Linked DNA regions of Mus musculus: regions 2, 3 and 4 are each reported to be linked to region 1. Evidence: microRNA targets listed by miRTarBase, many of them from high-throughput screens and not tested one by one. Region 1 holds a microRNA gene; each other region holds the end of a gene's coding sequence.

Evidence for each region. Region 1 holds the annotated microRNA mmu-miR-148a-3p (UCAGUGCACUACAGAACUUUGU, at 4,526-4,547, opposite strand). A microRNA usually pairs through its seed, bases 2 to 8, with sites in the 3' UTR of a target mRNA and lowers its output. Matches are read on the target gene's strand: a 7mer-m8 pairs with bases 2 to 8, a 7mer-A1 pairs with bases 2 to 7 and ends in A, and an 8mer does both.
Region 2: miRTarBase lists Gpr157 as a target of mmu-miR-148a-3p. Seed matches in the 3' UTR shown: 7mer-m8 at 2,535-2,541 and 7mer-A1 at 3,587-3,593.
Region 3: the mRNA of Adam19 is a reported target of mmu-miR-148a-3p. Seed matches in the 3' UTR shown: 7mer-m8 at 2,188-2,194.
Region 4: miRTarBase lists Wnt1 as a target of mmu-miR-148a-3p. Seed matches in the 3' UTR shown: 7mer-m8 at 6,017-6,023.

The regions. Positions count from the first base shown.
Region 1 is chr6:51,265,304-51,272,419 of GRCm38, forward strand. Mir148a (microRNA 148a) reads right to left here and starts at 4,607; the gene lies at 4,509-4,607. It overlaps Gm38821, which reads right to left. Exons shown (of 4, transcript XM_011241556.1): 2 at 5,904-6,107; 3 at 4,977-5,649.
Region 2 is chr4:150,101,642-150,108,757 of GRCm38, forward strand. Gpr157 (G protein-coupled receptor 157) reads left to right here. Exons shown (of 4, transcript NM_177366.3): 3 at 1-136; 4 at 571-4,286. The coding sequence ends at 768. Among named protein-coding and RNA genes, the nearest start is that of Slc2a5, 14 kb to the right of the region's middle.
Region 3 is chr11:46,142,531-46,149,646 of GRCm38, forward strand. It overlaps Adam19 (a disintegrin and metallopeptidase domain 19 (meltrin beta)), which reads left to right. Exons shown (of 23, transcript NM_009616.4): 22 at 389-541; 23 at 1,262-4,817. The coding sequence ends at 1,315. It overlaps Nipal4 (NIPA-like domain containing 4), which reads right to left. Exons shown (of 6, transcript NM_172524.3): 6 at 5,625-7,116. Among named protein-coding and RNA genes, the nearest start is that of Gm35624, 20 kb to the right of the region's middle.
Region 4 is chr15:98,792,055-98,799,165 of GRCm38, reverse strand. It overlaps Wnt1 (wingless-type MMTV integration site family, member 1), which reads right to left. Exons shown (of 4, transcript NM_021279.4): 4 at 5,336-6,750. The coding sequence ends at 6,262. Among named protein-coding and RNA genes, the nearest start is that of Wnt1, 5.8 kb to the right of the region's middle.

The sequences.
Region 1 (7,116 bases):
AACTGTGTCACATCGACGCCTGTTAGAAACCCAAGGGTTGTTGACTGAACATTAATGCTGTTTGATTCCTACTTCTATATTTTTTTTCCCAAACAGTTTTAACCAGGACACTTGTTGAAGAAATTGCTATTTTTTTCTCAGCATTCAATTCTGCCCAGTGGTAATGTGGGCAGTACATCCAAAATAGTACAACACTTTCCAAAGTAGTGCTATGGCCACCCTGGAAAACAACCTCCCACACGAAAGAAAAAAAACTAACATTTGCATTGAGCAGATGCCTGGCTCTCAGCACTGTTAAGGTTGAATTCAGACTTCCAGGTTTTATAGCACCGTAGTTAGGCATAGAAACAATACAACTACATGCAGTAGCTCTCAACCTTCCTAACACTGGGACCCTTTAATACAGTTCCTCATGTCGAGGTGAACCCCAGCCATAAAAGTACTTTTGTTGCTACTTCATAACTGTAATTTTGCTTCTGTTATAAACCATAATGTAAACATGTGACATATGCCCCCTGTGAAAAAGTCATTTGACACACACTCCCCACCCCCAGGTTGAGAACTACTGCACTACAAACCATGTGTTGGTTTTAATGTCAACTTGCCACATACTGGAGCCTCGCGTGAGGAACTGTCCTGGTTGCACTACACTATACAGCATGGCTACTCAGAGCAGACAATGATTCTGAATGCTGGCTCCGATGGCTGATCTCGGTTGTCAGGTTTGGCACACTTGGGAAGAAGGAACCTGCACTGAGGAACTGTCTCCATCGGGCTGGCCTGAAGGCATGTCTGTAGGAGGCATTTTCTTGATTGTTGATTGGCGGGAGAGGGCCAGTGGCTGAGCAAACCAGGAAGAGTAAGCCCCATGGCTTCTGCTTCTGTTCCTGCCTTGGCTTCCTTTGATGGTGGAGTGTAGTTTATAATCAAAACAAACAAACAAACAAACAAACAAACCAACCAACCCTTTTCAGTTCCCATGCTGCTTTTGGCCAGTGTTTTATCACAGCAACAGAAATACAAACGAAATTCTTAAAGTTTTACTTTCCCATATGTAAGGCAACCAGGACAATTCCTCACGTGAGGCTCCAATATGTGGCAAGTTGACATTAAAACCAACACATGGCTTGTATCTGACGTCAGCCAGACTAGCCGCAAGCCTGCGTTAACTTATGTAATCTGTTTATGCCTCAATTTCCTTGTCTGTCACATGAATGATCAACTACAAGGACTTAACATGTGAATGCTTCTAATGGTACTCCCCACAAATTAAATACTGTACAGTTATGCTAGGCTCAGATTAAGTGCTGAGCAGCTACACTGGTTGATTTTCCTATGAAGGAGCAACAAGAGACTCGCTAAGTAGCAAAGCAAAGAAGCCATCCTGGCGTTGGCTTTTTCCTCCGGGGAAGCCTTTGCTAATTTTCCTAGCATCAAGTTAATGAATGTGTGGATCATAATCGCGAGAAACCTCCCCATCTTCCCTCCATCAGTCTCCAAGGCTGCCATATGGGATTTTAGTCCTTCTCACCTACAGCAGTGTGACCAATGTTCTGCCATTGCCCCCTTTTGCATTAAGACTTCAGTCTGTGTCTGAAGTGCTTATCCCAAGGAAACCCCTGTCCATGCCACATGTACTGTCCACTCAGAACACTTTAAGTCACAGAATAAGGGCTAAGCACATGCTTCCTGAACATCACATGCGGACTTAATGGTAACACACCCGTGGCTCCTGGAAATCCCAAGACAAGAGTATCCACTATGCTCCCGACGACTGAGTTTCTGAGAGGCTGGAGAGATGGTTCAGTGGCTAAAAGCACATGCTGCTTGTGGTGGTTTGAATACACTTGGCTCAGGGAGTGGCATCATTTGAAGGTGTGGCCTCATTGGGGTAGGTGTGGCCTTGTTGGAAGAAGTGTGTCACTGTGGGTAGGGGCTTTAAGATCCTAGTTCTAGCTGCCTGGAAGCCAGTCTTCTCTTAGCAGCCTTCAGATGAAGATGTAGAACTCTCAGCTCCTGCACCATGCCAGCCTGGACACTGCCATGCTCCTGCCTTGATGATAATGGACTGAACCTCTGAACTTGTAAGCTGGTCCCAATTAAATGTTGTCCCTTGGTTGTGGTGTCTCTTCACAACAATGAAATCCTAACTAAGACACTGCTCTTTTCAGTTCCTGTCACCCATGTTGGGAAATTTACAACTGCTTGTAATTTCAGGTCCAGGGGGAACCCATGCTTCTGGCCTCCTAGGGCATTAATAATCATGTGCATATACCCACAGACAGGTAATTAAAGTAAGTTTAAAAGTCCTTAAGGAATATCTGAGTACACAGGGAGCTTCTAGAACTTTTTTTTTTAATTCAAGGTTACCCAAAATCCTGGAGTTTATCAACAAAAAACCCTGAGGTCCAGTGGCACAATGCTCTAATTCCTCACTCTGTGGGTATCTTCCAGAACCATGCCCACAGTTGCCAACCTTTGCATTTGCGAATAAAAACGCTTGTTCAGTACTGACAGGCAACTGGTGTCCATGACATACAATTCAGCTGCATCTTCAGTTATTTTACTGGAAATGAAGAAGGCCCTGGGCCATGCAAATTGGGGTGCTGGTGACAGTACCCTCTGGTTCAGCAAGCTGGGTTAAAATAACACATAGCCTTCCCCAAAGGCTGTTCCCTCTTCCCAGTCATGCTTAACACCCTTCCTGATGATGGTGGCATTGCCAACCGCTAACATGAGAATGGACTCCAGAATGAACCGGATGTCAGCCGATTTTGCTCACAGCTGTACCCTGGCATCTAACACCTGATGCTCAGTTGGTAACAAGGCTCTGGTTGCTCAATATCTAAAGTCAGTGGGAGTATGCCAGCTTCAGAGCACACCCAGCCTGCTGGTTTTCCTCGACCCTACTCCCAGCATGCACACCACTAGGATAAGCCACAAAGCCTTCCTTCCTGGCTGGCCCTTTAACCCGCTCATGGCCAAAGCAAGAGTTTTCACCAAATCATTTTTATAATGAGGTCAAACCAGGTGAACCCAAGTGAGGGATTCCAAACCTGGCTCTTTCTTGAAGGTAGAGTCCTGACCTAATCCTTTGCATGGATGGCTACTCTCCCAGATACTTCACCTTATCTGCTCAAAGGGCCACTGCATTCTCATACAAAGTTGGTTCTGCCTATTGTGAGAATTAGTAGTTTCATAGTATTTTGTGAACACATTCATTCACAAAAATCAGGAAAGAAACCCTCCTCACCAGGAAGCTTACCTTATATCTTAAATGAAAACAAAAAGAACCCGAATTTGGATCACTTTATTCAACTGCAAAAATAAGATTAAGCTACCTTTTGGGCAGAGAGTTGAAGCAATGAAGCTCAACAGTCACTGGTGGGAAGAAAGGAGACTGGGTGTAGCTAACAATCTCAGAAGAGCGCCTGGCTAGGGGTCCAGACAGGTGCCGCCAACTGGCAAGTCCTTCCTCCAATACTTTCCCATTGGCCCTTCCCCATTATCTCTACTCCAATAGGAATGTGCTCAGAAGTAAAGGCGGTGGATTTTCATTTTTTAGATCAAGACTTCCCAGAGTCACACTCCAGGAGACCTCGGGGCTTCTGAAGCATTCTACAAACGTTGCCAGGACTGAGCTGTCCCTAAGCAACAAAGAAGGCTTCATTCCTTTTTGCTCATCACTAGGTGTCACAGCTTGACATACATGTGTCAGGTTAGCGCCTTTGTTAATGACGGTTTTGTAATCCCTTGACTCTATTCGCTCTCCAGCCACACCCATAAACATCAAAATAGGGCAATGACCCGGGAGCAGGATACAGTTCAATGCCAGTCACTGCCCACTGTAGAGCGCACTATTAACTGCAACTGCCAGCCACAACCCACATTCCATTAGGGTCCAGGAGAGCAGTTTCTCTGTACAGTATCTCACAGCTCCAAAGTATAAACACTGACCTCATAAATGACTGTCAAAATGCCTTCTTAGAAAAGGTACTTCCTTTCCATTAACAACCCCCCCCCCAAAAAAAAAAAAAGAAAAGAAAAAAGGAAAATGAGATGGGCCTAAATCAAACTCAGAACTGAAACTAAATCCAAACCCAATCCTTGCAGGTTCATTTATCTAACAGGGCATTTGAGTAAAAGGCACATTACCTGTGGCTTTGGCACAAGTGCATTTCCTTCTCTTAGGGTACAGTTTGAACATACCAACACACTCATCAATAAACTTGTGGTCCTTCTCTCCTTGCTCAATAAGTGAAGCCAGACTATTTTAGTATTTTAAAAATAACCTTGAAAAATATGCAATCAGTCCACCAGGGTAAGAAGAAAAATGGGGGGGGGTAGTTACTTTATGTGATCTAACCCATTGACTTTAAAGGAGTTTTTCAGGTTCTTCACAAAGCCCTTGTGCCCCCTCTGGGCTGCCCTTCCCCCAAAGGAAAGGTGCAACGACGTGGCCAACAGGGCCACCAGCTTGGCGTCCAGGGCCCTTGCGGGGAGGCGGCGACCACAGCCTCTAGAGACAAAGTTCTGTAGTGCACTGACTTCTATCATACTCAGAGTCGGAGTGTCTCAGAACTTTGTCTCAAAAGACCAAACTGGCTGTCTTCCTCTGGAAGTTTCGTCCTGCAGGTGTGCTCCCTGCCATCCCGCCTCGCCCCCAGTGAAGGCAAAGAAGAATAACTCATTAGAAGCAATTTAGTCCAGGATGAGACCAATAGTGGTACGGATAGTTAATTATGGAAAATTACTGCCACAGTCAGCAGGAGTAAAAATCCAGTAGAAAGGGTGTCCTAAGAGACTCTGGTGGCAATGTCACAGCAAACGGACCAGTGGAATCACACAATGCCCCCTCCTTCCTACCTACTCTACACAAGAATCCATTGCCGGTCCAGCCCCCACCTCCTCCGGTCCTGTTACTAAACTTTGGCAAGAAGCTAATTCACTCAATCTAAGTTGCGGTAACTTTTTACCTTTCCATCTGGAAAGTTGGTGAGGGCGGGGAGGACCTCATGAGAACGAATTCCTGGAGCAGGGAGTCAAAGCCGGCGAACACAAGCCAGTTTCCCCGCAGATGGGACGTCCCGGGAAAGCCAGGCTTTTCGCGGCCTCCCCTTCCCCCAGCCATTCTCACCACACTACTCCGGTTATCCAGCTGCCCGCGCACAGTCTGGGAATCCGCGTCCACGCAGCCCTGGCCCCTCGGTGCCACCCACCCACTCTCCCGGTTTCCCTCTGCCTGCTGAGGCAGCGCCTCCGCAGCCGATCTGCATGCAGTCCACGACACAGGCCCGGCGCCCCTAGCCCATCCAGCCCGGACCACCGTGCGGGGTCCCGCACGCCTCCCCACACACTGCGCGCAAGCAGCTGTTGCGCGCGTGCAACAGGTCCGCAGAGCGCAGTCCCCATCCTGCCCGGTTGGTGCGCGTGGCCGACAGAACGCGGGGCCAGAGCTCCGAAGCTGCGGCCGGGGGTTGCATCGGCCTGTCTGGCCTGGCCGCCCTCCCAAAGGCCCCCCGCACGCCGCAGCCCGGCCCTCTGCGCCCCGGGCCGCTGAGCTAGGCTTCCAGTGGGCGCTCCGCTCCGCTCCCTTCCATCTTGACTTTTGCCGACGTGGAAATTTTGGGTTTGGAGACGACCTGCGCTCTTATTGGCTGCCGGCGGGCGGGGTCGGAGGTCACGGCTGCTCTTGCTATTCCGCGCCAAGGGGAGCCGCAAAACGGCTCGTGTCAAGTCAGCAGGTTCCCTCCGCCTCCTCAGGGTCACGTGCGCGCTGGGCGGGGCGGGGAACCGCCTCCTTATGCAAATAAACGACGAAGGGGCCCCAGGAGGAAGGGGGCGGAGCCGGCAGGCAGAGGGGCGGGGTGGGGGCGGAGCCTGAGCCGGGCGGGGTGCGGCACTCCAGGTGGTCACCTGGCTCCTAGTCCGGCTCCACCCGGCCTCTGGGTTCAGCCCTTTGTGGGCAGGCTGGGTAGACGTGGTCTCCATCCTGCCCGTGTGCAAGACGCTGAACACAGCTTTGCCCGCAGCCCCTTCCGCTAGGCCAGGCCAGAGCCCAGTTCGGGTCTGGGTCTCTGCTGGGTTGGGGAAGACGAGGCTGCCACCTAAGCAGAGTGAGAAATGGAAACCTTGAGGAGGACACTTTGGCTCCTCCCCCGGGGCTGAGTGTTACAAGAACTGAGAGAGGAATTCTCGGTAAGAGAATTCTAGAACAAAGCTAAATCAAGAATTCATCAAAGTTAAAAAGCCATCCTTTTGAATTAGCTGCCCATTGCCCACTGTAAGTAAGAAAAGGCCAACAGCTACCTGAAAGTATCAAAAATAGCAATTTCTTTTGTACCGCCTACAGGGACAAACCCAAAGGTCGGTCTGTCTGTCCTGACCCCTGCTGGACATTAGGCACGGGGGTGGAGGGCGTGGGGGGGGGGTGGAGCGTGGAACCTGGAGTCAAGGTCTCCTGCATCCGAAGGAGGTATAACTCAAGGTGCTCAGAATTGTCCATATCCACGATCTGTCAGTGGTTCCCCAAGCACGCATGGAGGAGGGCATGAAGGAAGGCGTGCTTTGTAGAAGAAAGGGATTGATGAGAGGCCACATGACTAGATGGCTTCCTTCCCTCCACCCTCCCCAAAGAGAAGACAGCAATGTCAATGTACAGGTAGAGCCCAGGTTATGGTGAAAACCACAGCCTCTGGCCACCGAGCTGCATCTTTTAAAACACAGATATTTCTCAGAACAGGCCTGGTTTTTCTTTGTGATAAAACGTCTGTATCATTTCTTTTTTCCATCTTAAGTGTGGCTGGATGATACGGAAAATGAAAGGTACATTTTCATGGGAAGATTCTTACCTGGAAACTTCTTCCCCTCCTGTCTTCTTAATTTACTCGTCCCTTCTCCCCCATCCCCCTATGGAAAGATAAATCCTTGCTCCTTCCAACTGTTTATCCTTAGGGATCTTTCCACTTGCACACTTGCGTGTTTATCTGACCCTTCCGGGTGTGGGGGTGGGGGGCTCCACCAGGCATTGTCTCCTAGAGCCTCCCACCCCCCTGCTCTGCCAAGGTCTGTCAGCGGTGCTCTCTGGGCCTCAGAGTTGGTCCGGGCTCTGCCGCA
Region 2 (7,116 bases), not on the chromosome of region 1:
CACTTCCACGGCAGATAAGAAGTTGGTCCTCATTCCGCTCATATTCATCTGCCTCCGCGTCTGGAGCACCGTGCGCTTTGTCCTGACGCTCTGTGGTTCCCCGGCTGTACAGACACCCGTGCTGGTTGTTCTGCATGTATGTCTGTTTCCGTGGGCCCTGCTACCCTACGGTGGCACGGCCAGATCCCCTCCCTACAGGCGCATCTCAGGTCCCAATGTGTTAGCCAGGATGGGAAGCGGGGTAGCTCACCATCCCATTCCTGTCCCAAAGCAGGCGTGGCTTGGAGTGTCCACTTGTCCTCAGCAACCTAGAGAAGCCCTCCCTAGCACAGTCCTCTGTCTGATCCCGGGTTCTTCTCAACGCAGAAGGCCTAACTGCAGGTGGGCTGGGTGGCCAGTTTTGACCTGTTGAGAGCTCTGGTTAAGGCCACGTGTCTGAGCTCATCCCACGACATTTTAGAGGCAGGAACAGGAAAAGTCATGGGATTCACAGGAGCCCACCAACTCCCCATGATTGCGTTTCTAAGACACCGCAACCTTGTATTTACGCCTCTTCCCCATCCCCTACAGGGCATTGGAAACACCTTCCAGGGAGGGGCCAACTGCATCATGTTCGTCCTCTGTACCCGGGCAGTCCGCACAAGGCTCTTTTCTCTTTGCTGCTGCTGTCCTCGGCCCTCCACCCAGAGCCCTCCGGGGGCTCCTACGCCCCCCAAGATAGGAGAATCTCAGGAATCCAGACGGACCCCAGAAGTGCCCAGCACTTGAGCGGTTGGCTTTCCTCCCTGTCCGTACTGGCGCTGCCTTCCTGGTTCCTGCTTCAGGATTAGGAGACCAAGCATGCTGTCAGCCTGGCCTAAAGTGAAGATCGGAGCCCAGTGGAGGGACAGCCATCAGTATGGACTCTTCTACCTCCCAGACTTGCAGGCAGGCAGTGTGTTCCTTGCACACTCATGTCCTGGTTCAGTGGGGTTTGTTTGTGTAAGCACAAAGACCGTGAGACTCAGCTATGCGGGATACCGCCAGGGCATTGGTTCTCAGTGTCCCCGGCCACCAACGTTGTTTACAGTTGGAGGGATCCGTACCTGTGGACCCATCCCAGGCTTGACTGAATAATAATGAACACCATCTTGGATCCCAGACATCGCAGTATGGAGTCCGGGCTTGCCAGGGCGTTGAGAATCCCTAGAGACCCTGGGGGTAATTAGCAGTGCTGGTCAGCTGAGGGTAATATCCTTAAACTAGGTCCCAAGTCCACGGAAGTCACAGGAGACTGCCATCATTGATGAAAACCACCCGGGCACACACTCATGGGCATCTCACGGAATCTCTGCGTGGGTCATCGCCCCTCAGTGTTTATTACATCTGAATTTCAGCACAGGCCAGAGTCCAGAGTCCTGTCCATTAGTCAATCACTTAACATCCTCGTTCCCTCCAGGTACCAGGACAGAAGGCAGCTCAGCTCCAGCCCCTATGGACAATTACCAGTTCACCTACTGTTCTCACAGAGCCCTCTCCTCACGGTGACTCATACAGGGGGAGGGGGTCTGGCTCTGCACTTTGCTTAGGAAAGGTGACCAGTGAATGGATCTGATTCCACCCTGAAGGTGAATGTTTGAAGAGTCAGCCTCGGGCTGGCCTGTAGCTCCGTGTAGTTTCCAGGTTGGTCCTAGCACCCCAAATACTTAAAAGGCCTTTGTGTTTTGTAGTTATCTGGGGGATATAGAAATAGGATTCTGAGATGATTACATTTTATTTTGTTTTTTTGAGACAGGGTCTCATGTGGACATGCTGGCCTGGAACTTGTTATGTAGATCAGGCTGGCCTCCAACTCACAGAGATCCACCTGCCTCTGCCTCCTGATAGTTACATTTTTAAAAAAATGTTGTGTTGTGTTGTGCCTGTTAGGCAGGTGCTCCGCCACTGAGTTCAATCCCATGCCCCTCCCCACTCCCTTTTTTTTGAGACATAATCTTACTAAGTTGCCTAGACTGGCCTTCAACTCTCAGTCGACCAGGCTGGTCTTGAACTTAAGATTTTCCTACCTCAACTTCCCAGGAAGCTAGAATTGTCGCCTTTGGCTAGCAAGCCTGGCCAGAGCGGGGCTTAACTGAGATCTGCTCAGTGGCTCTTCCACCCACACATCCCTCATTTCAGAAAGCAGTGTGTGCCGACGTGCAGGCTCTCGGTGTGGGAAGTGTGCCCGCCACCTTGCAGTCAAGGTGAGGTAGCGCCCTTGGATTCTGTCAATACCCTCACAAAACCGAGAGGATGCTCAGAGCCTGGCTCAAGATGGAAGCAGAGTCACACGGGGCATCAGCGCCCATCTCTATCAGGAAAGGAATAGTCGCGCAGAGGGCTGTGTCTGTATGCTCCTCTTCTGGCTTCCTAAAGCATTTCTTTAGGAAACTCTACAAGAGGTGGGTTCCCTTTTGGGAGTCTAAGAAAGCTCCTTGGCTTGGTACTCTGTCTGCTTACAAAACCAGTCTGTGTAGGGTGTCCTGAGATCCTGTGAAGATATTACAGCCAATGTGTGCACTGTCAGCGTGTAGCGCAGCGGTAATGGATCTCCTGGCTTCTAAAATGGAACAGAAATTCTAGGAATTTGTCTCCTGGAGGGGAGAAAATAAACCACCAAATACTACGGAGGAAATGATGTTGGATAAACCCAGCTGGACAGAGCAGTGTGAAACCCTGGCTGTTTGGGGCTTTGTTCAAGGAAAGGCAGGCAGGGGGCATCCGAAAGCCCTGCTCCTGGAGCCTGGGGCTTACCCAAGTTTTCTCTGATGCCACTGGCCAGGATTGCTGTCCGTAAAACCCCCTACAAAGTCTACACTTGGCTCTTTCCATCTGTTTCCCATGCTGCCCTGTCACCGAAGGTGGCTGGTGGTGACCCGAGGCCCGGTGCCTGACCTCTAGCCCTACGTGCTCACAGACATCAACCTTAGCTCAGCCGGTGGCCAAGTGGGTCTTCTAGGCAGCCAGGGTTCAGAGCTGAAGAGGAATAGAAGAATCCTTGGGGCCAGGAGGGGCCTTAGCACCGGTGAGGACCAGCTCCCCTTTGCTTTGCTCAGCCTCGTGGGTTCCTATCTCTACTAGGAAGTGTCATTAATATCTGTCTGTCCGTGTTCCTCTGTCACCCAAATGTGACCTCAGCCTTAATGGGTGCTACAGCCCCCACACCCTTCTTAAGCACTTTATGAATTTTTTTTTTCCGAGACAGGGTTTCTCTGTATAGCCCTGGCTGTCCTGGAACTCACTCTGTAGACCAGGCTGGCCTCGAACTCAGAAATCCGCCTGCCTCTGCCTCCTGAGTGCTGGGATTAAAGACGTGTGTCACCACCGCCTGGTACACTTTGTGAATCTTGTTCTGCAAATCCGTTGCCAGCTGCTTCCTGCCTTTGACTTTCTGAGGCAGAGAGAGAGAGAGGGAGAGAGGGAGAGAGGGAGAGAGAGAGGGAGAGAATGTGTGTGTGCGTGAGATATTATGCTCTAGCATTTATCTCTCTTCATTTTTTTTTTTTGTTTTGTTTTTTAAGTTTCGAAACAGGGTTCTCAGGCTGGAGAGATGGCTCAGCGGCTAAGAGCACTGACTGCTCTTCCGAAGGTCCTGAGTTCAAATTCCAGCAACCACATGGTGGCTCACAACCATTTGTAATGAGATCTGATGCCCTCTTCTGGTGTGTCTGAGGACAGATACAGTGTACTTATATATAATAAATAAATAAATCGTTAATTTTTTTTTTAAAAAAGAATCAGGGTTCTCACTACTTGTCCAGGCAGGCCTTAAGCAGTTTTACTGTTTCTGGGATTACAGGCCTATGCCACCCCGAGCCGGCTTTTTAGTTTGTTCTCTCTGTCTCTCTGTCTCTCTGTCTCTCTCTCTCTCTCTCTCTCTCTCTCTCTCTCTCTCTCTCTCTCTCTCTTTCTCTCTCTATGTGTGTCTCTTTCTCTCTCTGCCTCTCTGTCTGTCTGTCTCTCTCTCTGCTTCTCTCTCTGAAAATAAAAATAAAAACTATTATGTGTCCAAAGTACAAATGAGACCATATGTGTTTGTTTGTATGTGTACGGGTATTTTGTGTGTACGCAGTTCCCTTAGAGGCCAGAGGGACTCTGATCCCCTGAATCTGGAGTCATAGCTGTGAACTCTGGGCAAAGGGAACTAAGCCTGGGTCCTTTGCAGGAACAGCAACGCTCTTATCTGTTGAGCTAGCTCTCCAGCCCTCTCTGCAAATGTTTGTGTGAACTCACAGTTGTGGTATAATTAAACCTGGCATGAGATTTTTTGGAAGTGTGATGTTAACTCTCGGTGAAAGCCCGACCTCTTGCTGTTTTAAATTAAAGGAATCGGTCATTTTCTCCCCGTGTTTGCTGAGCTGGCTCCACACTGATGTGGGAGGGGTGAGTGAGGCCAGTCAGGCTGGCCTGGGAGTGGCTGAGACTTGGAGAACCCTCTTTTAAGGTTATAGTCACTGGCCACATACTTAGGCTTTGCCAAAAGAGAAGGTGCAGGTACCTGCTATGATTGGCTGCAGCAAACCCTACCACCACCACCACCACCACCACCACCTTGTCTAACTTCTGTCCTTAAGTCCCAGGCCAGTTTCAGTCTGTAGCCCTGAAGTCACAGCCCTCTCCTGTCAGAGCCTTTTACCTTTAGCAATTGGTTCTCATACGCAGTGTTTCCCACCCTCCCTGACCTCTGTGACACGCTGCAATCTTGCATGAGCCTCTGTGACACCCCCTCGGCCCTCCCTGACTCTCCAGGACCCTCTCTGGCCCTCCACAACACTCCATTCACACTGACAGCCATACCTTTCCTTTCCATCCATCCCTCCTGCCTGACCTGACTGCCAGCCTCACTCTGAACGCCAGCTCCTGTCTTCTTCTCCTGCAGCACCCCAACTCCATCTAGACCATGAGTCTGAACTTCGGCTTCTCACTGCTGGGATCTCAGGCCTGCACAGCCACGTAGGGTCCACGTATCCAGTCTCTGGATGTGGCATGCCCGGCTCCCCTGACCTGGTGCTTTCCACTGTCTCCCAAGCTATCTCTAACCTTCTCCCTGCAGGAAAGGCAGCTGGCTGCTCCACGATGTCCCCCATGCTTGGTGGCCTCTTCCTGCCCTTACCCAGTGGACACATGACAGGATGACTTCTTGTGCCCACAGATTCCCCAGCAGAGCTCTAAGTCATTTCCTTCTGGGACGGTGCGTTCCAGGGACCAGCCCAGCATGCGCCTGTAACCTAGTTTCATCTCTGTAGCTGAAATAAAATGTCCTGACAAAAAGCAATTTAGAGGCTGAGCCTGGTGGCTCACACCTCTAATCCCTGAGCTTGGGTGGTAGAGGCAGGCAGATCTCTGAGAGCTCAAGTCTTCAGAGAGAGTTTCAGGCAAGCCAGGGCTACATGGTGTCTCAAAACACAACAAAAAGCAGCTGAGGAAAAAGGTTTGCTTTAACTTACCAATGCAGGCTACATATAGTCCATCGTCTGAAGAAACAGTTGCAAAACCTCAAAGCAGATGATGATACCACATCCACAGTGAAGAGCAGAGTAAGGAACGCATGCACATTTAATAATCTTAGACAACCCAGGGCCCAAACCAGAGAATGGTACCGCTCACTCTCAGGCTGGGTCTTCCTACATCTTCCGGGGCAAGAAAAATAATTCCCCGCAGACATGCTGTATTAGTCAGGGTTCTTCAGAGCCACAGAACTTGTGTCTTTATATATTAAAGGAAGCTATTGGAATGACTTACAGTCTGCAGTCCAACTAACCCAACAATGGGCAACTGTGAATGGGAAGTCCAAGGATCTAGTTGTTGCTCAGTCCCAGGAGGCTGGGTGTTTCAGCTGGTCTTCTCGACGACAGATGTGCTGGCAAGTAAGCAAGAGCAGCATGGAAGAAGCCTTCCTTCTTCCATTATCCTATGTGGGCTTCCAGCAGAAGCTACGGCCCAGATTACAGGCATGTACCACCACGCCTGCACCTAAGCTGTTCTTTACTTGGAACTTGCTCTGTCCCAGGCTGGCCTTGAACTCAGAGATCTGCTTGTCTCTGTCTCCTGGGATTAAAGGCATGCACCACCTTGCCTGGGCCTAAGCTTTCCATGGCTACTCTGATCCAGATTAAAAAAAAAAAAAAAAAAAAAAAAGCCTATGTCATCCTGTGTCAAGATCCGGGTCAGAAGCCTGTGTCTCCCAGTCTCCCAGCCTCAAGATCTGGATCACAGGTGTGCCCTCCATTTCTGGATTGTAGTTCATTCCAGATGTGGTCAAGTTGACAACCAGAAACAGCCATCCCACATGCTGTCTCCGTAGGTAGTGTTTTCTGAGTAATGAACTATGAGGACCAGAGTTCAAGAGCCAGCACTCACTGGAAAAGTGTAGCATGATGGTGTGTGCCTATAACCGCAGCACAAGGGAGGGAGGCAGAGACAGGACCCCTGGGTCTTATCGGATACCGGAGACCAGTCCGATCAGCAAGCCCCATGGGTCCAGTAAGAGACCCATGCTCAAAAGATGGCACCAGAGGAATGACACCTGATGTTGTCCTCTGCCTCCACATGCACCACTTGCACACACGTGCACACACATGCACACACATGAACACATGAAGAAGGAGGAACCGGTAGAATGAGAAGCAGGCAAAGGTAGGAGATGTGACCCCGCAGAGAGTACCCGCCTTGAGCTCATGGTCACAGGGCCCAGGTCACTAAACACTTCCTGCTATCTCAGAGGTTCTCAGCCCTCCTCATGCTGAGACTCTATGCGCAGTTCCCCATGGTGCCGTGACCTGCAGCCATAAAGTTCTTTTTGTTGCATCTTCATAACTAATTTTGGCACAGTTATGAATCGTAATGTAAATACCTATATTTTCTTCTTTTTTAAAAAGATTTATTTATGCTTATGAATACACTGTAGCTGTCTTCAGGCACACCAGAAGAGGGCGTCAGACCCCACCTCGGATGGTTGTAGGCCACCATGTGGATGCTGGGAATTGAACTCATAACCTCTGGAAGAGCAGTCAGTACTCTTAACCACTGAGCCATCTCTCCAGCCCCAATACCTGTATTTTCTAATGGCCTGAGGCAACCCCTGCGTAAGGGTTGTTC
Region 3 (7,116 bases), not on the chromosome of region 1:
CATGGTCAAACAGAAGTGGGATTTTTCACACCAGGAAAAGACATTTTCTTCTTCTTTTTTTTTTTTTTTTTTTTTTTGGTTAAATTTTGGGACAGGGTTTTGAATTCACAGACCCACCTGCTTCTACCTCCTGAGGGCTGGAATTAAAAGTGTGCCTTATCATGCCATGCCCATAGCTCTAATTTTAATAGACAGCCAACTTGTTTTCCAAAAAGGTCTTATTTTTTTCTTAGCATGTGACTACATTATAAAGTAGACCCCCGCATAGGAGAGTCCTTTAGAAATGGAACAATCCGGTACGTAAGTTATTTTGGCTGTGACCCAGAAGATACTAGGCATACTTTCTTTTGAAGGGAGACCCTCAAGTCAGACTTCTTGCTTCCTCCAGGACTTCTCCAGGCCTCGACCACCTCAGAAGGCACTCCCAGCCAATCCGGTGCCAGGCCAAAGGACCGGTCCCAGGTCAGGAGGCACCTCCCTGCTTCAGCCCCCTACTTCTGGTCCTCAGCCCCCCAGGCCTCCAGCAGTGCCTGTTCCAAAGGTGAGTCCACAGAAGGACCCAGAAGGACCAGAGAGGAAGTGTGTGGCTGAGAAGGCAGTCCCGTGCCCCACGCTAGGTTCTAGAACAGAAGCAGAAATGAACACGTAGCCTCGCTTGGAGGTCTATTTGGCTGTACCTTACATGAGCAAAGGGAGGTTTGAATTTCCTTGAGAATGAAAGCGTCACACAGAAGCCTAAGCTCTGGTGGCTTTGATGGCACCTGAACAGATAGGCCACCTTGAGTAAATCCTTATCTCTTGATAAGAAGGCTTAAGATTGGCCGGCAAGGTGGTTCAAGGTAATTTTTAAAAAGGCCAGAGAAGCAGCAGGGACCAGCTCCATGACATTGCTCTGAAGGCCATTAGTTTATACAAGCCTGTCAACATATGTCCCTTTCCTTAACGCTTCTCTCTGCCTGCCATGTCCTCGGCTTAGTCTGGGGAGTTGGGTCAGAAGGGGTGAGGCAAGAAAGCTGGTTGCCAGCCCGTATCCCCTGAAGCACTAGGGAACTAGATGTACTGAAACTTGATGGAAGAGGGGAGGGGCTAAGTTTCCAGCTTTGGGGGTGGCCACACAATTGCTCTCACTACAAGGGCCAATGGCCCTGGAATGCAGCCGCGGGGACAGACTTCTGAGCAAGAGGACACTTGCCCACAGTCCCACTGACCAGCACTGAGGTCACATCGTTTTTTGTTTTTGTTTTTTTTTTTTCCTTTCCAGCTACCCGAGTACCGATCACAGAGGGTTGGAGCAATAATTAGCTCCAAGATCTAGAAGTGTCGAGAAGTTTCTTGTTCCGATGGAAGACTCCGGATGCCATGGAAGGTCCAGAAGAAAGACGCCTTCTCACCCATCCTGAAGCTTTGGCAGCCTTCTGGAACGTCCCTCATCCCCAGAATCTCCCTTCTTACCCGAGTGCCTCCTGCTTCCTCCGAGGCCCAGGGGGACTCATATCCAATGGCTCCTAAGTGTTTGTCCTGTGCAATATACAGCCCAGGGAGGGAAGGGAAGCACGGCGAGGAGGGTGGGAAAGGTTCTCCCTCAGCCCACTAGCCAAGAGCTACCAGCGATGCTCAGGGAAGGCTTGAGCTGGGGTCCTCCTCTGCGGAGCTTGGAGAAGGTACCCATCCTGGTCCTATGCTGGCAGGAACACACGCGAGTGTCACTGATTGGCCTCCTTCTGGGATCCCAGGCTGCTGAGGAAGCTACTGCTACATCCCTACCCCAAGGGGCTTGGTCAAGGTGCCTGTTCCTGGCTCTCTGGCTGCATGTGATAAGCCATGCTCCCCTCCCCTGCCTTTCTTCACATTCCCACTCCCATATTTACACGGGTCACTCTGACTCAGACAGGTACTATTTGTAAGTAGCATAGACAGCAGGGGGGTGGGGTGGTCAACCTGTGTCCCCTCTGAGCCGTTATGCCAAAGGTCACTAAGGACATTTAGAATCCCCATCCATCCATCCATCCATCCATCCATCCATCCATTCATCCATCCCCAGTGTTCCATGTGTCACCTTCTCCTTTTCCAGCATCCCTATCCTATGGTGCTTTGGTGGTGAACTATGGCAGTCCTGACTTGCTGATGACCATATGCTGGTGACCTACAAATCGGGATCCTGCCATATGGGGTCGCCACTGGACTTTCTGCACTGGATCTCAAGAGCGTTGAGCCGAGTGGGCGTGTATGTGTGTGTGTGTGTGTGTGTGTGTGTGTGTGTGTGTGTGTGTGTGTGTGTGAAAGAGACAGAGGCAATGAGAGAGACAGACATGCAGGCAGGCCGACAGCTCTGCATGTACTTGTGTTTTACGGCCTCAAGCAGAATAAGGGACCTCCTCCTTATTTCTGACTCATATCTAAGTAAGGTTCCCCAGGACAGCCACAGTTGTACTGAGGGGGGCTGACATGTTTGGCATCCTGGCTATAGTATTGTATACACAGGGCCACCAGCCCCGCCCTAGTGGTCAGCTCTGAGGGGGGACTGGTGACTCTGAACAGATCGATGTCAACAGCCATGGTGAACCAGATCTGGGCAGGGTTCCCCAAACTCTATTCAACCAGAGTTTTATCACGCACCTCATCGGGTCTCTCCTGGTTGCTGCCCCGAGGTGATCGTCATGGAAAATGCTGAGAAGGTGGGAATGGGATGGGGTGGACCTTCTCTTGCTTGGTGCTCCGCTATTTGGAACAGTTCTTACACATTTGCTGGGCCTGGCCTCTGAGAGGCCATCTTCCACCCCCAGAAAGGTGCTAATGGCACTGCAGAGGGCTCTCTAGGGGCCTCCCCGCCCCAACAGCAAGCAGTTGTTAGCTCTTGGAACCCTCCAGAGGAAGAGGCAAGCGTTTGACTTCCCCTTTACCACCTGAGGCCTCCTTATATCTCTTCCCAGAGTAAGCTTTGGGATTGTAGACATGTGGGAGCTATGACAGACGTGGCCTGGGGTAGAAAGATCTCAGGAAAGCACCTTTCTCCTTTTCAGGGTGACCGTGCTCTTCACACTCTCTGAGGCCTCAGTCCATGTCCTATATCAGTTTCTCTTTTGTGTGCTTTACCAAGTGGCCGGTGACTACAGGCCACCCCGATTCTCACCACAAAGTTAGAAACCCTCCACTTTCTGTCCCTTGAACCATATCAGAAAAAGACCCATTTCCTTGCTCTTTGGTAATCACTTCTGTTTTTTTCTTTTTCATTACTTTGCTACCACCTCCATCCCATGACATTATACTGTGAAGTGTAAGAGGACGGGGTTTTTTTAAACTTGGTAGAAATGTCGGCAGCTGCTCTACACACAACTTCACTCAAGGCTTTGTTTCCAGAGGCCAGCTAGGCTGTCACAGGCAGGAATCCCTTCCCATCTGCTTTGTGAAGGGTCCCATACAGGTGTATCTAGACTTCAAGGACAGGGTTTGTCTCACAGGATTGTCACTTAGGAGATGAAAGAATATTACCACATGAGGAGGAGGGGCAGTTGCAACAGAACACTTTGGTCTTCCTACACCAAGTCTGTGAGGGCATCCAAGACTGAATGAAAGCGCTTTTCTTATGCATACAATGTGAGCAAGAACAAGAACTGTTTAAGGCACCTCTGTTCCCAGCCACTGAAGAGAGACGTCAGAAGATGTTAGAATAGGTCAAAGCCAAGGCTCTGGTGGGCTGAGGGAAGGTTTGTAGCTGCGTTTAGTGGTATACATCTTTAGTCCCAGCATAGGCAGGTGAATCTCGAGTTTGAAGCTAGCCTGGTCTAAAAAGGAAGTTCCAAGACTGCCAGGGCCACACAGAGGAAAAAAAAAACCCTCTAGAAAAACAAAAATGAAGACAGGATCTCATGTATCGTAGATTGGCCTTTAAGTCACTTTACCAAGGATGATCTTTGAACTCCTGAGTACAGACTGCGGGTGTGTGCTACCATGCTTTATGTGGCCCTGGGTTCAAACACAGCCCTTCATATGTATATAGCCAAACACTCTACAACTGAGCTACATCCTCCAGCCTAGGCTGTAAATGTTTTTTGGAGCTAGATTAGCTGCCTGCCAACCTTAGAACTGCAAAGCCATTCCTGACCTGTAAACCTCAGCTCTCCATCTCTATAAGAGGTATAGCCTGGGCTAATACCGTCCAAGTTACAACTCCTTGCTTGCTTTCTGTTCCTTCTAGCCTTGGTGACTTCCACCAGGAAGAGAATACCCCCTCTCTACCCCTGCTCCAAGACACTGTAGATGCTAGTGTCGGAGTGTTCTCTGTAACGCGACAGTTCCTTCTGTTGCAATAGCCCCCCTGCAACACTGCAATAATCCTTCAGTGTCTCCCCTGGGCTCAATTCACTTCCTTATTTGACAAAGTGGAGGTGAGACTTGTATTCTTAAAATTGGAGGCTAGTTATTTTGTCAAATGCATGTAATGAACAGACCCGAAGGAATCCTCCACACACAAGCCAGGGAACACCAACTGGAAAGGTACCCCGTCCCAGGGAAGCCTGCTAGGGAGAGGTTCTGTAGAATCCGAGCCTAGCACCCCAAAGTCATGCACCCAGTATCCTCTTGTATGACTGTATATGTCTATGTCTGGGATCCAGGGCAAATGTGAATTTTCTTTTGATTTGGGAGATTGTTCACAGGAAGTAGTCCTCCCCTCTCATGTCCTCCTATTGATTGTTTACAATATTTGTACATCTATGCAAAATACTTGAATGGGCCATGGTGCCTTGTTTTTTGTTGTTGTTGTTATTTTTTTCTCCTTGTTTGTATTTAATTAAAACAAATTGTCATGAGGAAATGTTCTCTGTTTGGATGGCTCTTTTGTGTGTGAACTGTTTCGGTAATCCCACTGCCAGGACCACTTAAGACATGTGATGTGAACGTCTCAGAGGACTCATACAGACCAACAGCCTTCCAGTCGGCCATGACCTGTGCCACAGTGATGCCCCGGGGTTTCCCATGGCCAGTAGTCAGGGCTGCCTGCTTTGTACCTGTGCTCAAGATAGTCTGGTTTCATTAAATCTTGGATTACCAAAGGCTTTCATAATCTTTTAGATTCTAGAACATTCTTCTACACTATTAACTTTAGAAGACAGCTGAGATACTCTGTGACCAACTCTCTTCACTAGGGGGTGTGCTTTAATGAAGAGGAGAGACTTAGTGTGGGTCCCGGGCTGAGTGGGTAGGTGCAGGGAGGCCAGCTTGTGTGCACTTAAGATTTCCCAGGTCTGTGTGGAGACTGCTGGTCTCTCACCAACTTTTACCCATTTCCTCCCAGCCTCTGTTTTGAGGTTTTCTAAGATTATTAATAACCACAGGAGTTTTACTGTGTAGGTCTGAATGAAAATGGCCCCCATAGAATCATAAGGAGAGGCATTAATGGAGGTGTGGCCTTGTTGGAGTGGATGTGGCCTTGTTAGAGCAAGTGTGTCACTGGGGGCGGGCTTTAAGGTTTCAGAAGCTCAAGCCAGACTCAGTGTCTCTTCCTGATGCTTGGGGGTCCAGATGTAGAACCCTGAGATACCTCTCTAGCACCAGGCCTGCCTGTGTGCTGCCATGCTTCCCTCCATGACGATAATAGAGTAGACCTCTGAACTGTAAGCCAGCTCCAATGAAATGTTTTCCTTTATAAAAGTTGCCATGGTCATGGTGTCTCTTCACAGCAATAAAACCCTAAGATAGTCATCTCATTGAACCCTCATGTAAATGCTAAGAAAGCATCATCCTTCGTATTTCATATGCTTTTTGCCATATGCCTGGCTCCTAGTAAGGTCATCACCTCTACATGAATGGTACTAAGAAATACAGCAACCTTCCCTGTTTGAGTGAGGGCAGATCTTGGAAGACACAGGAGGGCTTTGCTTTGGAGATCAGGGACTGGCATCCCAGTATGTGAGAGGAACCAGTGGAGTGAATTTGCTCCGTGTACATGGAAGGTCAGGACATTTGTCAAGTAAACACACCCTGAAGTCTTTATTACTGACCCCAGAGCCCACGTTCTCAGAACCTTCAGTTTACTAACCCCCCCCCCAAGATCCAGTGTGTTGCATTGATTTCAGTCACAGTCAGAAATCCACATTCATGAAAATACTGGGGATTGGGAAGGTATAGGGCCCAGAGTGTTGATCTGCCCTAAGAGCTTGTCCAAGGCCAGAAACAGTTTGACCTGGGTGTGGTTGTACTTAGGGGATCAGATTCGAACACAGGATCGTATTTTGACAGTGCTACGTACACTGAAGATCAAGTTTCCCCTTCCCCACAAACTGGCTCCTAACTTCACTCTCTTATGCTCCTTGTGTCAAGTCTACACTTTCACAGCTGTAAGAACTGGAAGAAAAGGCTCTCTCTCTCTCTCTCTCTCTCTCTCTCTCTCTCTCTCTCTCTCTCTCTCTCTCTCCAGCTGCTATTCTCTGACTGCTTCTGGCCAAATGTAAGGTCACCAAAAGTGACCCTAAGAGCAGGTGATGGTGGAGGACTCATGGCATGCTGTTTCCAGTGTGGGCAGCTAGGTTGTCAATGGAGATAAACTCAGTTCCAGTTGGGCCAACAAGGCTGTGTCAAGCCTGCACTCCCATTTGATTATTGGGATTCTAATCCAATTCCACTAGATACAGCTAGGAAATTTCCCCAGAGGTCTGGTCCTTGCTCGAATCTGAGTCAGGCCAAACATTATGTCCAGGTTTCCATAGAGCCCATGACTCCATTCAGACAACCATGACATTGTGTCTTATACTCTCCCCCTCTTCCCCAAGTCATATCATAGTCAATTTCTTGATGCAAAGAAATTGCATTCTGCTAAATTCCAGCATGACAGCACAGTGCTGTTCTCTTCCCAGAGGCTGCTAGGTGAACATGGGTTTGAACAGCGGAGCTGGACTAGGAGGCATCCCCTGCTGTTGGTTCTAAGGCTACAGCCTACACGTGTCAGTGACTGGTATCTTGGGATGGGCAGAGAGGGAAGGATAGTAGTGCCTGCCACTGGAGGCACAGACAACAAGATGTGACCTCAAGTGCTTGGAGAATGGGCCAGTTGAAACTTCCCTGAGACATCAGGTGGTATTCACAGTAAGAAGGTCAGCTGGGGTCTTGCTTCTGTCTACA
Region 4 (7,111 bases), not on the chromosome of region 1:
TGCACATGCATTACACACACACACACACACACACACACACACACACACACACACACACGTTCTCCAGGAATATTCCCTTGACCCAGAAGGCCATCTTCATATGACATCTACTCTAAATTGGGTTTTTCTCCAGCTTGCTGCATGGCACTAATTGATGGTCACATTGGTGTGATCCCTGGGGAATGCTCTGACTTTGGGTTGCTTCTTCCTAGGATGCTTCTGCATCCTGCCCTTCTGCTCCCTGTTGCGCCCTATCCTGTTCTTGTTAACTTTCTCCAACTTTGCCGCTCTGGCAACTCTGGTAGCTTCTGCTTCCAGAACCTCTCATCTAGCAGGGAATAGTATGTGCCCTCTAGCACTCCAGAGTCCTGTAGGCTACAGGGACATGTGAAAGGCCCCGTGAGACTTTAGTGCCATTTACCCAGGAATGAAGCATGCCAGGCTGGCTGTGGCCTGGGGTTTCTGCGGGTCAAGCCTGTGTGCCCTCTTCTCTCACCAACTTTAGGAGACCCAGGTTTCTCCTCAACACTGCTCCATAGTGGAGGAGGCTTTGGGAGACACTACGTGAACGTGGAACATTGTGGAACGTTGTCCACTTTCCCAACATGCTCCAGGGCCCATCTTGGCCCTTGGCGCGTTTTAGAGAGGAAGGGAGGGAGGGTTGGTGCTGAGAGTGGGAGCCAGGCCCATCGAGGTCCCAGGAGTGAATGCAGCATTGTTGGCCAGGCCAGAGTCACAGATAATTACCTCAATTAGTGACAATGGGAGAGTAATAAATACAGGCTTAGTGTCTCCTGCCCCACCAGGGCTCCGAAGATTAATCCAGGCTGACGGGCGGGCCCTGAAAGGCGTGATGGACAATTCATTAAACTCCCCAAATGCCGCACAACCTGGGCGTGAAGGCTGAGTTAGCCCCCTGGGGGCTGCGCCTTTGTCCTGATTGTGTGTCTCCGCCACAGCAGAGCCGAGCAGCCCCTAGAGAGCCGGGAGGTGAGTGGGGCTCCCTGAGCCCGGCCGGGTGGAGGGGGGATTAGGCCTCGGTCTGGCCCTGGTTGCCCTGGCACACTGGCCCGGCCTGACTGGAATGTCCGTCGGGGGGAGCGGACCGAGCGGAGGGGCGGGGCCGACAAGGTGGAGTAAGGGGGGCACACAAAACCAGGGGCAGGAGGAGTTAATTAGACGCCAGCCGAGGAGGGCGAGGGGCCACAATAGGGCTGAAGGGCCGCCAGGGACGGCCCCTTCACTTCCGAGGATTAATAGGGAGGATGGAGAAGGGAGGGGCTCAGCCCTGGAAGAGGAGGGCTGCCCCTTTTGCCTTAGATGGGCACCTACTTAGCAAGTGTCTGGGAGTCAGGATTCTCTAGTAGCCTGGTTCATACCCTCAGCATCCCACAGAATGGTTGTCCCTTCCTACGTGTTGGTACACAGCAGTCACTCACGCGGAAGATGGTTAGGAGGAGAGGAAGAGAAAGAACTTATCCACCAGGCAAAGCAAAGGGGGAAGCATATTCAGGGGTCTTATTCTCAGCCTCTCATATAACCTACTCTGCACAGTACTAGTGCTGGATAGCACCCTTCCCTTCCCTTCCCTTCCCTTCCCTTCCCTTCCCTTCCCTTCCCTTCCCTTCCCTTCCCTTCCCTTCCCTTCCCTTCCCTTCCCTTCCCTTCCCTTCCCTTCCCTTCTCTTCCCTTCCCTTCCCTTCCCCTGGGAGGTTGCCAGGTTGAAGGCACAGCGTGCAGAACAGAGGCTGGAGCTGGTACGATCACCCAGGAGTAGGGTGTGCATGCGCCGGGGCTGCAGGTGCGCATGCGCACCTCACTATGTCCACTCAGTGAGTGAATTAAAAAGTCTGCTATTTTCTTGAGGGTGTAAGGAAATGGCCCAGGGCTTTGAGCCCTTTCACGCTGGACATAAGGCCATATACCAGGGAGGGTGGGGTAGACAAAAGTCCAGGGCACACGTCAAAGGTGGCACATTCACCTGGGAAAGGTAAAGGAAAAAAAATCAATAAATATTTCAGCAGCTGGTTGGAGGCTCCACTTCTCTCTGGGCCTCACTGAATAGGGCAGCCCTGGCTCCTCCTTAGGTGTCACCCCACCCTACCCCCTCCCAGGGGATGACAGGGGAGCGAGTTGGCGGCAGTTCCTTGGGCATATTTATAACCTGCTGCTCTCTCACCAACCCAGTGTGTCTGCTTTTAGCCCAGACGGGGGAGGGGGTAAGGGGGTGGTCTGTCTCATGCCCGGCCCTGGCATGGTGTGGAAAGACTGAGTAAGGGTGAGTTGGTGGGCAGCTCTGCACGGATGTTCCTGCTCACACCACAGCCAGACAGCTTATTTTCTTCCCTGGAGCCAAGGACTGAGCCTGCCTGGGGCCGTAGGGAAGGGGGGGTTGGACCCTCTGGTATTTGCAGTTACCACTGACAGGGTTTTTCCGAGATGCCAGTGTCAGGGTGTTCGGTGCTGACCCCCCAGGGACCGTGCAGCCCCGCTGGCTGTCTTGGTCCTCTCAGCTTTTCCGCCACCCCTGGGATATTTCAGGACTCAGTCCCCGCAACAGCTCTGACTGAGGTCAGCTCTGTGACCAGGGTCCCTGTCCCCGGTGTGGTGTGTATTTGCATGGCATCTAAAGATCAGGAGTGGGTGGAAGCCTCAGGAAGGTGCGTCAGGCATATTTCTGATGACATTCATTATCTTATGGACAGCGCCTTGTGTTCTGAGCCCTGAGACTCTTTCTAGGTACGCACCTCCCCCCCCCCTTCCTTACTGATCTACTGATCCAGTTGAGAGGGCAGCGCAGATAACACAGGTAATAGGGACAAAAGAGTCCTCAGCTCCTAGGCAACACTTGTAGACCCCACAGCCCCTTCACACACACACACACACACACACACACACACACACACACACACACGGCTGGGGATCCAACCCATCTCGTCCTTACACGTGCTCTACCATCACGCCACACATTTCCAGCACTTTTATCTGAAGTGTTTCCTTTTATTTGTGCATGTTGTGTTGGGCCCTGGCTTTGTTCTGCATTTTCCCATGGCACACTTCTTCCAAGTTCCAGCCCCTGGAAGAGAAGGGTGCTGAAGCCTTTCCTGCACACCGAGGGTCTTTCCCTCTATGCCTGTTAGTGTTTGTTGGCCTGGTTGAGTCCTGGCTGGACCTCTGGCTTGTAGATTGCTGCACTGCCAGCATTTGACAGAGGCTAGTACAGAAAAGGTATCAGTAGCCGTCCACACAACCCAAGCTGTCACAGACACTATGTCATTTGAAGCCTATCCCCTCCTTAAGCGACAACAAAGATGGATATTTGAATATTCTCAATTAAGGGTCAAGCAAGGCAAATGGGACTGAGAAGACTGAAGACAAAAGATGTGTCAAATACCTGGGCAAAAGGGGGTGGTGGTGCTCTCTTTCCAACTCCTGAAAGACACCTCTGCTCAGCACACTAGTTTCCAGGTTCCTGGGTTAGGATTTGGGTGAGATTGGTCGGCGATGGTTTGGTTCCTCCATTCTGCTGCTTCTCCCTGATACATTGAGTTACAGCAGCCCACGCGTACACACTCTCGCACATGCGTGCACACACGTGCACATGCACACACACATACACACATACACACACACACAAGCGTGCATGTGCACATGCGTGCATGCACACATACACACAGGCACACACGTGCAACACAGCATGTGCAGGCATGCACACACAGACACACACACAGACACACACACATTTGTGCCCTGGGACAGCCCAATGGCTTCATACTTTGGGAGCGCTGAGGGGCTGATAGCTCAGCTTGGGTTAGGACTGAGTAGGCTCTTCTGGATGATCATCACTGGAGACCCAGAACCTTTTAGACATCCAGACATCCAGTATCCCAGGTTGGATCCACTCATCAGAACTGACCCAGTGCTAGCTTTGCCAGTGGAGAGAAAGGCAAGGAAATGGCTTGAGCAGGCCCTGAATCTACTTCTCTACCCACTCACAGAGTCAAAAAACCAACAGGGGTCAGAGTTCACCCCTCCCCCCCCACCTCTTCCCCCCCCCCTTCCCCAGAGGTGATAGCCTGCAGCAAAGGATCCTGGGAAGAAGAAGAAACTCTCTGAGCTGATTGAGACTGGTTATGGCTCTTGGGAAGGCGGGGGTCCTCTGTAGCTTCTGTCAATGCCTTTCGGGTCCTCTCTGGTGGGAAGGGGCTATGATGAAGGTCAGGTATTGGAAAGGGTTAGTGTTCCCTGAGTCAGGGCTAAGGCTCTGGTTGGACAAGGAAGGGAGGAAGAAATGACTGGCGTCAGGTTGAGTACTCTGAGAAGGATTCCTTTCCTGCTGACTGGTGACTGCAAGCACAGAGGTAGCCTGCAGGTCATAAGGAATCCTCATTCTGGCTCTTTGTGGGTGTGGTTAGCTTACTGCTTTGATTGTGGACCAATCACTCTTGGGGTTCCTTTTTTATTGAGCTCTAAGCCTTACCCCTGTCTAGAAGCTAAGCTTTCTGCTCTTTTCTTCTTCCCTATGAGCATCTTTAAGTTTTCTAGTTCAAGTTTAGGGCCCACTGTTAACCCATGGCTTTTCTTTAATATCATTTCTTTATTATTATTTATATGAGCACACCATAGCTGTCTTCAGACACACCAGAAGAGTGCACCAGATCCCATTAACAGATGGTTGTGAGTCACCATGTGGTTGCTGGGAATTGAACTCAGGACTTCTAGAAGAGCAGCCAGTGCTCTTAACCTCTGAGCCATCTTTCCAGCTCTAACCCATGGCTTGTTCCTGGATGTCCCTTACCTGTAGGTTAGGGTTGGGTTGCTAATAAAGAATTTCCAGGAAGAGTGTAAGAGGTGGGCCTTCCACTGCTCAAAGCTCAGACTGCAGAAAAGGTTGATAGCCTCCCAGGGGCAATGACACCCTTTCTGCTTGAGCTTCCCCCCCCCCCTCTCAGGATGTAGTCATGGCTATCCTTTCCTTTCATTGCTGCTACCTCCCCAGCTCTTGCACTAGGAGAGCTGGACTGTTGGTGTGCTGAGTCCCCATCAGGTGACACACTTGTCCTCATCACTTAACCAGCTGCTGCCAGAACAGGAGGAAGAGCCCTGCAGGAGCTTTTGAGCAGGCTTTTCTCTCAGGAGACCTGGATCCCTAGTTGGTCTCATTTAGGGTCATCCAAGGGTCAGGATCTCAGGGTCCTTGCTCAGGCCCTGGAAAAGAGATCTTCAACAACTCTATCTCTTTTGTTTGGCTATGAGAAGAGAAGCAAGTCCATTGGAAGGGAAGAGGACGTTGGAAGCCATGCTGTGTTCTGGATTCAAGGACCAGAGTCGTTGATAAAAATAGATATTTTATTCCTCAGAGGAAGATACTACATTGGTGGGGGCGAGGAGCCACTAATAGCTACAGTGGAAGGAAATACTGATCCGGTGGGCAAGGGCGCCTATGAGAAGCTGGGTAAAAGAGAAAAAAGGTCGGATAACAAAAGGACTGGCGAGCAGAACAGAGGAGCAGTGAGGTGGGGTGAGGGTGGTCTCTGCAACCCAGGCTGGAACCCAGCACAATAAATAGTTTTATTTACATAACCGAACGCGTGGCTCTGCGGCCACATTTCGGTGCAAATTATTTACACAGTGATGAGGAGGCAGGACAGGAAGGGGTGGGAGGAGGCTGAGGGAGGCATGGTTCACAGCTGTTCAATGGCTCCGAGGCAGAGACAAGGAGAATGTAGGGTTTTGCTGCTGGGTCCAGCAACCTCCTTTCCCACTTAGCTTTCCGTGCCCTTTCAACTCGGAAACTCTTCAGCTACAGGTGGGAGGGGAAAGGCCTTGAAGCCCAGAGGTGCTGGTTAGAGAACTCAAGGGACCTATAGGGACCCGAGAGACAAGGAAAGGTGATAATACCCAAAGAGGTCACAGCGCAAAATACATCAGGAACCGCAACACCTTCAAGAGTTGACCTCCCCACCCCCACCCCAGAAGAAGAATCTTTCTCTCACCCTCTGGCCAAATTGGGGGGCAGTGCAAAAGGAGTCTCCCTCAAAGAGGGAGGGAGGTAGGCTGGGTCAGGGCCCTCAGGATGGCAAAAGGGTTCGAGCCGACTCAGGCAAGTGGTTTCAGGAGTCCCCAGGTAGGAGGTGGGAGAGATGGATCGCTATGAACCCTGGGACTGTGGCTGGACGCGGTAGGGTGGGCAAACATCAGGACCAGCGAGTGTGTCTGAGAACTGGAAGAGAGCGTTCCCGTTCCCGGAGGCGCGGCACCTCATAGACACTCGTGCAGAACGCGCGTGTGCGTGCAGTTGCGGCAGCTGACGTGGCAGCACCAGTGGAAGGTGCAGTTGCAGCGCTCCGTGACGCGCTGCGTGCGCGTGCGGTGGCCTCGGCCACAGCACAGCAGCTCACAGCCGTCCAGCGCGGGAGACGAGCTGTTGCAAGCTCGTCCAGCTGTGCCAGCTGTGCCCAGGCGGCCACTGTACGTGCAGAAGTTGGGCGATTTCTCGAAGTAGACGAGGTCGTGAGGGGAGGGAGGCTTGTGCGCGGGGTCTTCGGGCTCCAGGCGCAGCAGCTCCGCCCGCGAGGCGCGGTTGCTGCCTCGGTTGCCGTAAAGGACGCGGGAGGCGCCGTCGAAGCGGTCGCGCAGCACGTCGCCCACAGCGCGCAGCGTGGGCAGCCGCATCCAACACGTGCGCACCGTGCAGGAGCCGGACATCCCGTGGCATTTGCACTCTTGGCGCATCTCAGAGAACACGGTCTGGGGGAGGAGGGGACGAGGGGAGGAGGGAAGAAAAGGTCAAAGCCAACATCCCACGAACCACCACCCATACTTCCCCACCCCCACCCCACCCGGGTCACGTCGATGCTGTGGAAACTTCAGCCAAGGTCCAGGTGTGACTAAGCTCGGGAGAGAGGAAGTGCAAAATGGCCCGCTGAGATAGGGACATTCGGCCAGACTCTGCTCCACGCCAGCAAGTCACTTTTATCTTTCAAAAGTGTGCCATGGAGCCATCTCAATACATCCCACGTGTTGATAGCCTGCTAATCTCTTCTGTTCTGTCATCAGCTCAGGAACCTCTTTGCCCTCAACCACCACCTCTTCTCTGTCTTCCCTCCTA